Caenorhabditis elegans: one gene and its partner. The protein of the gene in region 1 interacts with the protein of each later gene in a biochemical or structural test. Each region holds a gene or a part of one and is shown on either strand. Other genes may lie near its edges.

What was found.
Region 2: of the proteins of flp-15 (region 1) and npr-3, one has a biochemical effect on the other in vitro, tested with the Caenorhabditis elegans proteins (3 studies listed by BioGRID, with this or other methods).

What each region holds. Positions count from the first base shown.
Region 1 is NC_003281.10:13,662,870-13,669,738, reverse strand, and holds flp-15 (FMRF-Like Peptide), read left to right. Parts: upstream 1-1,899; 5' UTR 1,900-1,935; coding exon 1,936-1,999; intron 2,000-5,682; coding exon 5,683-5,745; intron 5,746-6,054; coding exon 6,055-6,191; 3' UTR 6,192-6,339; downstream 6,340-6,869.
Region 2 is NC_003282.8:11,458,126-11,463,728, forward strand, and holds npr-3 (Neuropeptide receptor 3), read left to right. Parts: upstream 1-1,858; 5' UTR 1,859-1,866; coding exon 1,867-2,028; intron 2,029-2,498; coding exon 2,499-2,651; intron 2,652-2,770; coding exon 2,771-2,854; intron 2,855-3,412; coding exon 3,413-3,549; intron 3,550-3,683; coding exon 3,684-3,899; intron 3,900-4,560; coding exon 4,561-4,852; intron 4,853-4,897; coding exon 4,898-4,984; 3' UTR 4,985-5,074; downstream 5,075-5,603. Other genes in the region: C10C6.3 (PH-15 domain-containing protein), read right to left, coding at 5,484-5,603. UniProt on the Caenorhabditis elegans protein: G-protein coupled receptor for flp-15 neuropeptides. Receptor activation assays suggest binding to predicted flp-15 peptides, GGPQGPLRF-NH2 and RGPSGPLRF-NH2. Likely involved in Gi/Go-coupled signaling pathways.

The DNA.
Region 1 (6,869 bases):
TGCAGACCTTTGAGATGTCGGCTGGTATAAGTTCTTTTACAAGTGAGTTGAAAAATATTGCAATAACTAACTGAATGCAAAAAACTGGCTCAAAATGTTAGCTTACAACTTTTTTGTAAATCGACGCTGTAAAAAGTTATAGCTCCCAAACCTGTTGGCTAACGTTTTTCAGAAGTGTTTTGAAAAGTTTTCGACTACTAAAATGTACAACAATGTTGGCTAGTAATTTTCATCGGTTGCTATATAGGTTTACAAATACTTTTTCATTTTGCCAGTTGATAATTTTTCAAATAGCAATATCACGGAAGCTGTTGAATGTTGAATATTGAATCTGAATGTTGAAAATCGCCTATATTGCAGGTTTAATTTTGAAACCTACGAGGCGTCTGTTGTTACAACTTGTTACTAGGTTAGGATATTTTTCAATTATCAAAATTTTCAAACTACAATAAAAATATATCATTGAAAAAAAAATGAAGAAAACGGAATTTTAAACACCGAAAAAAAACACTCGCTGAATTAATTCGGCGGGCAGAATTTTAAATTTTTTCCCGAAATCTTGAATTCCGAAAATCTATCCAATATAACGCGGAAAATTTTAAACGGTGTCTTGAATTCTGCCAATATCTCAATTCTGTTTCAAAAAAAAAGCCATTGAGGATTGAGTTATTATCAAAATTTTGTAAAACTTTCAAATTTCGAAATATAATTTTGCTCAATTTTATTTAAGTTGATACTTAAAAATGTATTTAAAAAAAGGTTCCAAGTTTTTCCCCTCAACTTCTCATCTCAACAAACTACAGAAATACCATTTCCACTTTGTTAGTTCCGTTAATTGCATACATAAAAGTCAATTGTCTCTCTGCAATATTGTGCCGGTTTCGTTTGAAATATGACCGAATTATGGATACACACGGGGCTACAGTAACACGACACCATTTTCAAGTGACAACAACTGGTGTAATAATTACCAGGTGTAATTATTGCCGCTCTGAAGTTTTTGGGGATGCGGCGGTCCAATAAGGGGTACTGTACGCTAGGTCACGCCTGTTTCATGGTTCTGAAACTTTGAAGTTATCGTTTTTAATATAATCTGAAAGTTATGAACATAAATTTTTTTTAAAAACAAAGGCTATAGTTGGGTTTTTTTAAATTCGAAGTTCTCGTTAGAAAGGGGTTGTGAATTAGAGTGCCAATCAGGGGTGCGCGGGAATTCTACAAAATGAGACGGTTGGGAATGTTCCCCCGATATTATTCGTTAAAATTTAATGGTACAATATAGAAAATATTTGCATTACTTGAAAATAACTGTTATTTCAGTAAAAAATATTGGAAAAATCTTCAAAAATCGTCTGAATGTTGAAAATTGCCGAAAAATTGACGCCAGTTTTCCACATTCGGACAATTTTTGAACACTTTCTCGGTTGTTATAAGTCAAATAAAAATTAATAGTAGTTTACAGGAAGTGTTCCTAAAGCTGAAATAACCACTCAAAACTCGTTCTTTGCAAAATTTAGTATTTTGTGTCATATCTACTGAATTCAGTCTGCCCCGCTACTTCAAATTTTTATATTGTCAGTTGGTATCACCGGAATCCATTTTTTTTCAAATTTTTTGATATTATCTGCAAAATTAATCTGAAAAATATATAGAATAGTATTTTAAGCGTTGAACTTTTTTGGTCACTTATATATGTGCCAAACTCCTGAATTCGGAGCAAACTTCAAAAGTGGTGTCAGGTTTTGTTGAAAAGTGGTACCTTTTCCCCAATTTCAAAATTTTCATTTCAAAAAATATCAAGTTTCTGACTGCTCATCAATAACTACAGAGCTGCGCAAAGGGCGGAGCTCAGATCCCGCCCTATCTGCTCGTGTGCGCTTTCGCAAGAGCTTTCGGCTCATTTTTTGGAAGAAGGTCTCCCACATACACCTCGTCATGCAGTTCTCCACGCTTATTCGAGTTGCAGTTTTTGCGGTTTTGGCAATTGCTACACTTGCAGGTAAGAGTTGTTGGCTAGATTTGCAAACTGAAAATACGATACGGATTCTATACAATACGAAAAATCAAAAAGATTAGGTTTTTTACGGAGTTTTATACATGTTTGGGTGAGTTGACCAGCTTTAGTTATAACTGCAGGTTTGAGAAGCATAATGGCTGAATAAATAAGTTTTAAAAAATGTATTCTCCGAGTGACGAATTCAAAAACTTATGATACATATCCTCGTGATCCGATTTCCAGCAAACTTGATATTTAGTTTCAAAAGTTTACATCATTTCGACATTCTGACAGGCAAATTGGCGGTTTACTCAAAACAGAGCTCGCCATTTAAGTCAAGTTGAACTTTAGTCAGTCAGATTGTAGATAATAAATCAAAGAAGTATGGAAATTTTTTAGCAACACCCAAATGTAACGGGGGATTATAACAAAAAAATTAACTGTCAAGTTTTTACTTTGGTGAGACTGGAGCAAAAACAAGAAAAACATTTAAAACAAATTGATAATAAATCGACCAAAAAATTCACTATAACTTGCCAGATTTTTTAAAATTGCTTTACTACCCTCAAAATTGTCTGAAAACGCAGACTTCTTAAAAACTTCTCGAAAAAAAAGTTATGACGGCTCAAAAAATGGTCTAAAAACTGTTTTGAAATTACCGTCAAATTTTGGGTATAAAATTTAGTTATCATGCGTTATCAACTCGATTTAGTAAGCCAATAGACGAAGAAATTTGGTAAAAATGTTTAAAATCTTTTGGTCCATCGACTTTAAAATAACTAAATCGAGTTGAAAAGGCAAAATAATTACATATACTCATATACTCAAAATTTGGCGGTGATTTAAAACAATGTTATCAGCCGCTGCGACATTGACAATTCCGTCAAATTTCAAATTTTGACTAATATTAGGCCCTTTTTTGAGCCGTATAACTATTTTTTTGAGAAGTTTTCATGAAGTTTCATTATGAAATTCGGGTGTTGTCAGACAATTTTGAGTCTAATAAAGCAATAAAAAACATTTTTACAAGTTATTTGTTACCAGTTACATTGTAACTGGTAACAAATTTTTGACAGCTCTAAAATTATAAATATATAATTTCAAAATTTCGATGACATCACCCTACCGTAACCCTGTCAGTTTTGATCCATTCCTCCATCATTTCTTGTCATTTCCTAATTCCACTTTCTTTGTTCTTTTCCCATTTGTCATTCAACAATCCCCTCCCTTACTCCTCCGCTTGTGTAGTTTAGTAGTAAAATTTTTGGAAAAATTCTGACTTTACGGATCACTGGGCTCCGGAAGTGAAAAGGTAAGGGTTTAGAAGTCAGAAAACTGAAGTTTTTAGATTTGTAAGTGGAAAAGTGCAAAAGATCGTTAAAATGTTTAAATCGGTTGTAAACGATGATGAAATTGATTTTGAAAGTCGCAAAACATTTTCGACAGCTTGAAATAGTGCCGGAAGCTGATAGTTTTTCCAAAAGCGTCGAAATTTGCAAAAAAAAACATCAAAAACTGTTTAAAAGTTTCAAAAATTTGCCAAAAGTTCATGAAAAGCCGAAGAGCTAGCGAAAATTAGTCAAGAGTTTTAGGAATATTCCAAAAATTGCCAAATTTTTAAAGACATTATTTTAAAAGCTGCCGAATTTTTTTGTGAGGATTTGATGATTGATCAAGAGTTTGGGCAAATTTCAAAATTCTTATAATTTTTCAAAAATTGTTTTCATTTTTTATAGAATATCGGTAATTTTGAAAAGTATTATTGCCGAATTTCGTGCAACAACTATTTTTAAGACAAAATTCAAATTATTTGAGATTTACAAGTTGCCAAAGAACCGTAGATAAAAATTTTATAATTCCTATTTCAAAATCAAAATGTCTCTAGTCTAAGGTGTAAGGGATTAAAACTTCCCACTAAAACTTCCAAATTTGTCACCACCCACGCCCGTCTACATAGTAGTGTCTTCTTCTTCTTCTTGTTTTGTCATAATATGTACACATGTATCAACCATAAAGAGGAGCCATTTGCATCGATTTTCATTCATTTCCACACTCCAGGGTCTAACTTTGGTAAGGTTTTATTGGCGGTGCACGTCCACTGGGGGTCGTCAGGCGATTAGTTTGAAAGTTTGAAACCAATGAGCAACACATGGGGCTCGCTTTATTTTGGAAACCTTTAGGAATGATGATGGTTGTGTATTTGAAAATGGGCTGGGGATTTTAATTTTAACAATTTAAAACGCAAGCGGCTAATTTCAAAAGTTAACATTTAAAAGTTAATTATTTTCACTGATCACGAAATTCTTTTGACACAATTTGAGGTTACTGGACAAAATTTTTGCCTTTTGGTACTAAAATTATCAGACGTCGATGATTGACCAAAAATTAGTTTTTTAGACCACAGATTTCAATATTATCAGTATTTTGAAATGCGATTAATTTTCCCAAGAAAATTTAATTAACAACACGATTTTATATTGTTCAAATTTTTTTAGAATTGCAAGTGTAGCAATTAATTTTTTTTTAATTTTAAACTAATATGTCATTTGTTTATTCCAAAATTGAGTTCCAGACGCTGCGACAGCGAGAAGATGGCAAAAATGTTTGATTTTAGCAGAAAATGAGCCTTTTTTCCAGAACTTTGAACTCGTTATAACTTTTTTGAAAAATGTTTAAAACGTTTCATACGAAATTCGGTAGTTTTGGGTCATTTTGGATCTAAAAAACAAAGTCTCGGATTTCGGTACTCCACCGTTAAACATTTATACCGAAGCAAGATAAAATAGGCATAGCAGCAGACTACAAAATTAGAGAGAAAACATTAGAGAGAATTGCAAAAAAATTTCAGTTGACAATAGTTTGATAAACTATTGAAGTTGGTTAAGAATTATTTATACTTTCAAAAAAAAGTTCGTCACACAAACCCGTTACCTAAAAATTCCAAAAACTCAGCTAGTCAAACAAAACGAGCTTCCTTGTCTAATTTATTCTTTTGTTCTTTTCTCTCACTTTGATAATGAAAACTTGACAAATTCTTCGTTTTTTTTCGAGAGCATCACGTTTATGCAGATGAGGGGGTAGATGTTTGAGATGAGTGATAAAAGATTGAATATTTTATGAAAAAAAAAGTTGGGGGAGATTTTTCTTTTTTTGGGTGCTGAGGTCAAACGGGGCAACATTCAAAATTTTGAGATTCTTTCCCAAAAAAGTACTACTAAACTGCCGGAATTGTCGAAAGTTTACCAAAGCTTTTGTCAAAAATTGTCTGATTGATTTTCCAGCAAATTTTCATTTTTTCAATTGAAATTTTTAAACAGAGTGTAGAAATTTCAAAATTTTGGCACAAAATGCATCTCAAATTACCAGAAGACAAAACAAAAAAATTGTGCCAAAAGTTTCACACGGCGTCCATTCGAATTATTTATGGAAAAATGATATGTACGTGTGTCGGAAGTGGGTTTCATGTGAGAATTTTTGTGAATTTTAAACAAATATTTAGAAAGTGGAAAATGAGAAAAAAAAAACGTCACTTTATAAATAAACTTGAAAGGATTCAGAAGGAATTTGATATTTCCAAGATTGGAACAATGGGAATTAAAAACTAATAAGTAGTAATTAAAAGCTCAAACTATGACTTTCAAATGAACCAAAATTTCAAAAAAAAAACAAGCATTCTAAAATTGCAGATTACGACGACAATTCGGTCGGAACAATCCCAGTGGCTGTTGATTTGGACTACTTTTCCAATTGTAAGCTTTTGAATTGTTAACTTAAAAAATGAAAATCACAAAGTTTTAAAACATTTGTTTATTCAAAACTTTTCGATCTCTTAAGTTTCTAAAAAGATATCAGCATTTCAAAAAATGTTCAGAAATACATTTTATCGCTGAATTCAAGTGAGAATACCATTTTGAAAATTAATACTTTTAAAAACATTTATAACAAATAAGTTTTCTATCTATTTTCAGTTAAAACTTTTTTATATCTCAAACGGTTTGATTGCTTTTTAACCTACCAATTTTTTTATGTTTGGTGACCACTTTATGCTAAATTTTCAGACGTAAAGAAAGGCGGACCCCAGGGACCACTTCGATTCGGAAAACGACGTGGACCATCTGGACCTCTCCGTTTTGGAAAGCGATCATCATTCCACGTGGCACCTGCTGCTGAAGACGTCGCGTCGTGGTACCAGTAAATAATTTGGAGAGCGGTCATTTTCTTGCCAACAACTTTTTTCTCCCCGATTCCGTTCCCCCGTTTTTCCATCCCTCACCTGACTGTGCTGCATGTGTTTCTATGAAATAAATAAGATGATTGGTTAATAAAATATGTTTTCAAGTTAATTATATTATTATTATTATTATTATATCATTATCGATGAACTTATAACAATTTTCAGAAAATGTCTGTCAAATGGATGAAAGTTTTGATATTCTTTATTTCGAGTAGTCGGCAACCAGCAAATTTCTAACTTTGAAATCGTGTTAACTCTGTAAACAGGGTGCACGGCAATTGCTTATTGCCGAAAATTCACAAAACCGACAATTGCCAAAGTTGCCAATTGCCGGAGATTTTGAAACCCAGCAATTGCCGAAATTGCCGATTGCTGAAATTCAGAATCGCCGGAAATATAAATTCGATACTTTTTGTAGATTTACGAAACTCAACATGAATTTTAATGGACAATTTTCTCTTTTCAAGCTCGGCATGATTTAATCCTTGAATGAAAATCGGCAATTTCGGCAATTACCAAAATTTCCGATTACCGCGCACCCATGTCTGTAACTAATGAACTATTGATCATTGAACTTTGGAAACTCAGAAAATTGAAAATGGTCGATGTTTTATTTTCTGAAACTCTTTTTTTTCTGAA
Region 2 (5,603 bases), on another chromosome or scaffold:
ATTTTCAATTGTTTATTTGGTAAATTTGTGTTTCCGATTTTCTGATAATTTATTAAACTTAAAATTTATAATTTATTGTTGAAGTGCCTTATATTAGTCTTGCTTTTTCGAAAAATATTTATTTAATTCACATTGTTTAAAAGTAAAGTAGCGCCAGTGGGGAAAGTGTTATAAACTACTCCTATGGTATCAAAATGGCCGATTAATAAAATACTAATAAAAATTTTCAAAAATATTTTTAAATGTTTTTATTTCTGTCAAAAAGTGACAATTACTCAGTTTTTGGCACTCATAAATTTGGAAGTCGACCAAAAAATGGTTTTCCTACATTTTTTATACTGTAATTTTGTTTTAATTATTTGTATCAAAACATTGTAGGGGTTGGAACATGCGACATTGCTTTGGATTTCCTTAGCATCTATAAATTCCGAAATAATGTTGCCTCTATTTTCGAAACCACCCTTCAAAAGGCCTTTTTCTTCATTGCCTATGCAAATTTGTGCTTCTGAAAATAACATAGGCTTGTACTCACTCTGAAAACATCATAAATTATAAAGATTCTTGAACTCTTACCGTACATCTTTTTTAAGTTTGTGTCTCTGCAGGAAATCTTTATTTTCCGATTCATAAAAGAGTACTGTAATTTTGATAAACTCCCTTTCAATGAAAAACTCCCATTTTTGTAGTAGTACTTTTTTATCATTTTCGACTTGTCACAGAAAAAGAAGTCAATTGAAGTGGAAGGAGCAAGAAGAAAAGGTCCGTTTGTGTAATTGAAACAACCTACTTGTCTCATATGTTATGCAACACGTGTTGTCGTTTTTGTCAATTATTAGTAAAGAAAATAAGTCGGTCGGAAAAATGGAAATTAGTTTGCACCCTGCCATTTTTTCCTTCTTCTTTTCCTCACTCCCCCACAGACTCCCGCCTCCCTTCCTCATTCACAATAATTTCTTCGTGTTTCCAGTAATAACCGCTAGGGGTGAACGAAGAAAAAGAAGAAACACACGTTTAAGCCTTGAAAGCTGAAGCTGCTTCAGGCTCCGCCTTTTAAAGGAAGGAAGCAGGAGGAGTTGCATTATGCATCAGGCTTGATCTTGTTCGGCGAAAATTTCTAGTTATGAGTCATTTTCACTTTCTTTTCGGAGAAGACATTGATTATAGATGTCACATTTTTCTAGACATCATTTTTATAATTTCTAGGTTCTATGTTTTTGTTTAGTTGGAGGATCCTTGTTTTTCCGTGTTCTTCAGATAATAGGCTATTTTTAAGAGTTTTCTTGAATTTTTAAGCTATATTATTTTTGAAAACTCACGACTTAAATATTGCGATCTCAGAATCCTTGTGTGCCTTCCGGAAATCGCATCAAAATTGAACATAATTTTTCATATTTAATACGTAACTGCTATTTCTAAGAGAGAAGGCTCGCTGACATTAATGTTTAAAATGGTGTATTTTCTTTCAAATCGGCTCCATGAATTTGTGAATTTTGTTGTCAGCTCTAACTAGGGTACTCTGTGAATTTAAGTGGAATCGAGTGTATGAAAACCTTGAAAATGTTTTCAAATTTATTAACAATACGGAGTGGGAGCTACAACGGTAGGGTGTCGTTGCGGAGTTCCCCGTGCTGAAAATTTTGAAATTTCCATTTTATGATGGTTTTTTTTCTTTTCAAAATTTTCTTCTGATCATATTAGTGACCCAATTTCCTTGTCAATCTCAATGAATCCTCATTAATATTCGTTTCCTGTTTTTTCTCCAATCTCTCATTTCACCCCAACGACTTGGCTATATATTTTTGTTCTCCTCTTCTGGAATTTTTGAAAATTTTAATTTAAAAATTTTAAATATTTACAGAAATCAAAATGGAGGGTGGTCGAAACTGTGTAATGACAGTACAACAGTGGCAACCTGAATACAATGATATGAACCAGATAAGAGCAATATTCTCGTTACTGTACCTTCTTGTTTGGGTTGGAGCTATTGTTGGCAACACTCTAGTACTTTATGTACTCACTTTTAATCAGGTATTTTTTGTTGAGAAAAATCGACTTTGTTCTCGAGTTTATATGAGAAAAAGTGTTATTTTGTTGAAAAACCTTGGTTATAATTTCTAAAAAAAAATTTTAAATTAAAATTTGTACCATTCCGGAATTTTTTTTTTGAAACAATCAGAATACTACATAGAATTTTTTTTTTCAAAAAATACGAGCGGTTCCCCCTTTTAAGAGGATTTTTGAGGACTTCAACTTTCAGTTTTGAAAGTTCTTAGGCTTCATTAAAATCTTCCGTATCTCTCTTCTCGCATTCAATTCAAAAAAATTGTTTTTGATACTACCATCATCTCAAATTTCCGGTATTTTATTCATCGAATTTCCTAGTGAATCAAGAATCTTTCATACATGATTGAAAGTACAATTACCGAACCACCTCCAGAATTCGTCATTGAGCTCAAAGTGCCCGAAAAGAGTTCATTAAGCTAATTTGCCAACTTCAGGTATCACTGTCAGTTAGGACGGTATTTGTTGGATGTCTAGCTGGTTCAGACCTTCTAATGTGCCTTTTCTCGTTGCCAATTACCGCGATTTCTATATTTTCAAGAGTTTGGGTATTTCCTGCTATATTTTGCAAGTTGATCGGAGTTTTCCAGGTGAGATTTGTATAAGATTTTCAGGATTTATAAATAAATGTCTAGACTCTGAAATACTGTGTATTAATCAGAATAACAGGAGCGAACAGAAATTTGAATTAAAATCAGAAACTTTTCAGGGCGGTACGATTTTTGTCTCATCATTCACATTAACAGTTATTGCTCTGGACAGATGTGTACTAATTCTACGTCCAAATCAGGAGGTAGGCTCTCCCCAAAAAACAGTCCAGAAGTTCTGCAGTAAACTTTTCTGAGCAGATAAAAATTGATGTGGTTTGGAGCCTTCTTTTTCTATGCCTCTTTTCATTATTTTTTCCATGTATTATTGTCGAGAATGTCTTCCAAGTAAAAATCTTCTATGTATTTCTTTGTGTGTTTAAGTACAATATTAATGGAAACTTGTTCTTCTTCAGAATATGATCTTCTGAAAGGCGGGAAAAATAATTAGACTGGTCATTTTATTTTGATCCTTGGACAATCAAGGACTTCAACTTTCCCGTTTTGTAGTCGTTTTTTCAATCGGGAAACTGTGTTAACCTACCTTCCTGTCTTCAAGGCGACCTACGCCTACCCGTTAAAAGCCTTATACCAGGCCGACCGGGGCGTAAGCTTGAAGAAAGGTGATTCTCTAACATGATAACATCCTTTTCATGGCGATCTAAATACCCTTGATACAATTTGATTTTAATTTAAAAATTGCGTTTAAAATAAAATTTTTAATTTAATAATCTATATAATTTGTCTAAATTTTTAAATTGCAGATAGTAAATTTCCCGAGAGCTGTCTTCATTGTTTTCTGCATTTGGCTTCTCGGATACTCTCTAGCACTTCCTGTAGGCATCTACAGCGACATTGCAGTATACGACGAAATTTGCGGCACATTCTGTGAAGAGAATTGGTGCGTCATTTGTCTCATTGATTTGACCAATTATCTTGCATTATTTCTTTTTCACTTCCCATAATTATCCCAATTATTTTCATATATGTTTTCTTGCTCTTCTGTTCTTTAAAAAACGTTAATCACATTTTCAGGCCTGATTTCAATCCGGATACTGGAAGATCGGGAATTCGAAGAGCTTATGGACTTTCTGTGTTGGTACTTCAATTTGGTATTCCTGCATTGATAAGTTCAATTTGTTACTGGATGATTAGTCGAGTGATGTCAGATCAATTAGCAAGAAGAAGAGGGCACAATATTCGACCGGAATCTGAAACAAAGCTGGTGAATCGAAAGACAAGAGCTAATCGGTTTGTTTTCCAAAACTTTCTTTTTTTTTTAAGAAAAAATTATAAATTTTAAAGTGAATCATTTGTCAGAAAATGGACAAAATTCCAAAACTTAAGAAATTTTTCCTTGAAAGATTTGTGCAATTCAGTTTCTCAAGAAAAAAAAGAGTTGATTCACTTCAAAAATTCCGTGTTACCATCCAAACAAATTTACTCAAAAATTTCCCAAAACCCTACTCGACCCAATTTTTTTAACGAAGTTTTCATAATTTTTAGATGATCTGATTTTAATTCGTTTGTAATATATTATTAATTCTGCATCAATTGAATACATTTTCAACATTCGAATCGGCACGTTTCTGCAATCCCCAAACCTGAATTATTAAGCTCTCTCTGTTATTTTTTGTTGCAAATTTTGTACCCCGTTGCAAAAGACACAAATAGTCATTTGTATTAGCATGTCAAACCTTGCATAATTTGACAAAAACCAGGAACTCCTAAGGGAAATAAAATACGAAGCAAAAAAAAATAAAACAAACAAAAGAGACTACATTCTTTTTTTGTATTCACTGCAGTATGCATGACTGATGATTATGATGGTGACTATGTATGATCATTTTTCCAAAAGAAACAAAATCTGGAGAATTCCAGGAATTTCTTCAAATTATTTTTCTAATTTCAGAATGATGATCGTAATGGTTGTTGGATTCGTTCTCGCGTGGATGCCATTCAATGCAGTCAATCTCTACCGTGACCTATTTGGAATTTCTAAATGGTATTCTACAGTCTTTGCGCTTTGCCACGTATGCGCAATGTGCTCCGCTGTGCTCAACCCAATCATCTATTCCTGGTTCAATCCTCAATTCCGACAAAGTATCACCACTTTGTTCAAGGGTACTGATGAAGCTAGATTGATCAAGAAGAAACCACAATCTACCAGTAAAATGGTTTCGTATCCGACTAATTTCTCCGAGGTTCGTTTGCTTAAAAAAATAAAGTATATGTAAATTCAACTTCAGATCCGAAAAGAAACAGAAATTGCATCGACAAAGACAAAAATCACAATTGCTGAAAACGACTATCGAGCTGGAGATCAACTTTTATAAACGAACTGATTAACAATTTTAGAAACTAATCTGTGATGATTCTACCGGGTTGTTAGATAAAAAGCTTTAATAAATTGTATTTGTTCTAAAAAATATTGTTTGACAAACAAGTAGTCTCTGAAAATTGTCATTTGCCAAAAAAACCTGTTAAAATGATTTCGACAAAATACAACTTTCAGCTTGTTTTTCACATTCTTGTTGACAATTTCAAAAAAAAGGAAAATTAATTCCGAATTAATCGGATTTTTTCTATAATTTCAAACTCTTCTAGATTAATATTTGATGCACTGGGTGCCCCCGTCACGCCTCGCTGGAAATGTCTAATGTAGATAACCGTAACCGGCAATATTATAATTTGTCCAAACGTTTTGCTGCACACCTCTAATGCCCATTTCCATTCCTAATTCAGTGAATACAACTTTTGTTACAAACTACCAAAGATTTATACTAGAAAAAGGCAAATACTCAAAAAAAGTTCGAAGCAATCTTCTTCTTCTTTCTACTTCTTCTTTTCGTGAAGCTCAATTTCCTCCGAATCCGTCGTCATCTTCTTCTTATCCTCATTTCCAGGTGTCAACGCATTACTTGGTGTTAATGATGAGGCTGGAGTCGTAGAAGT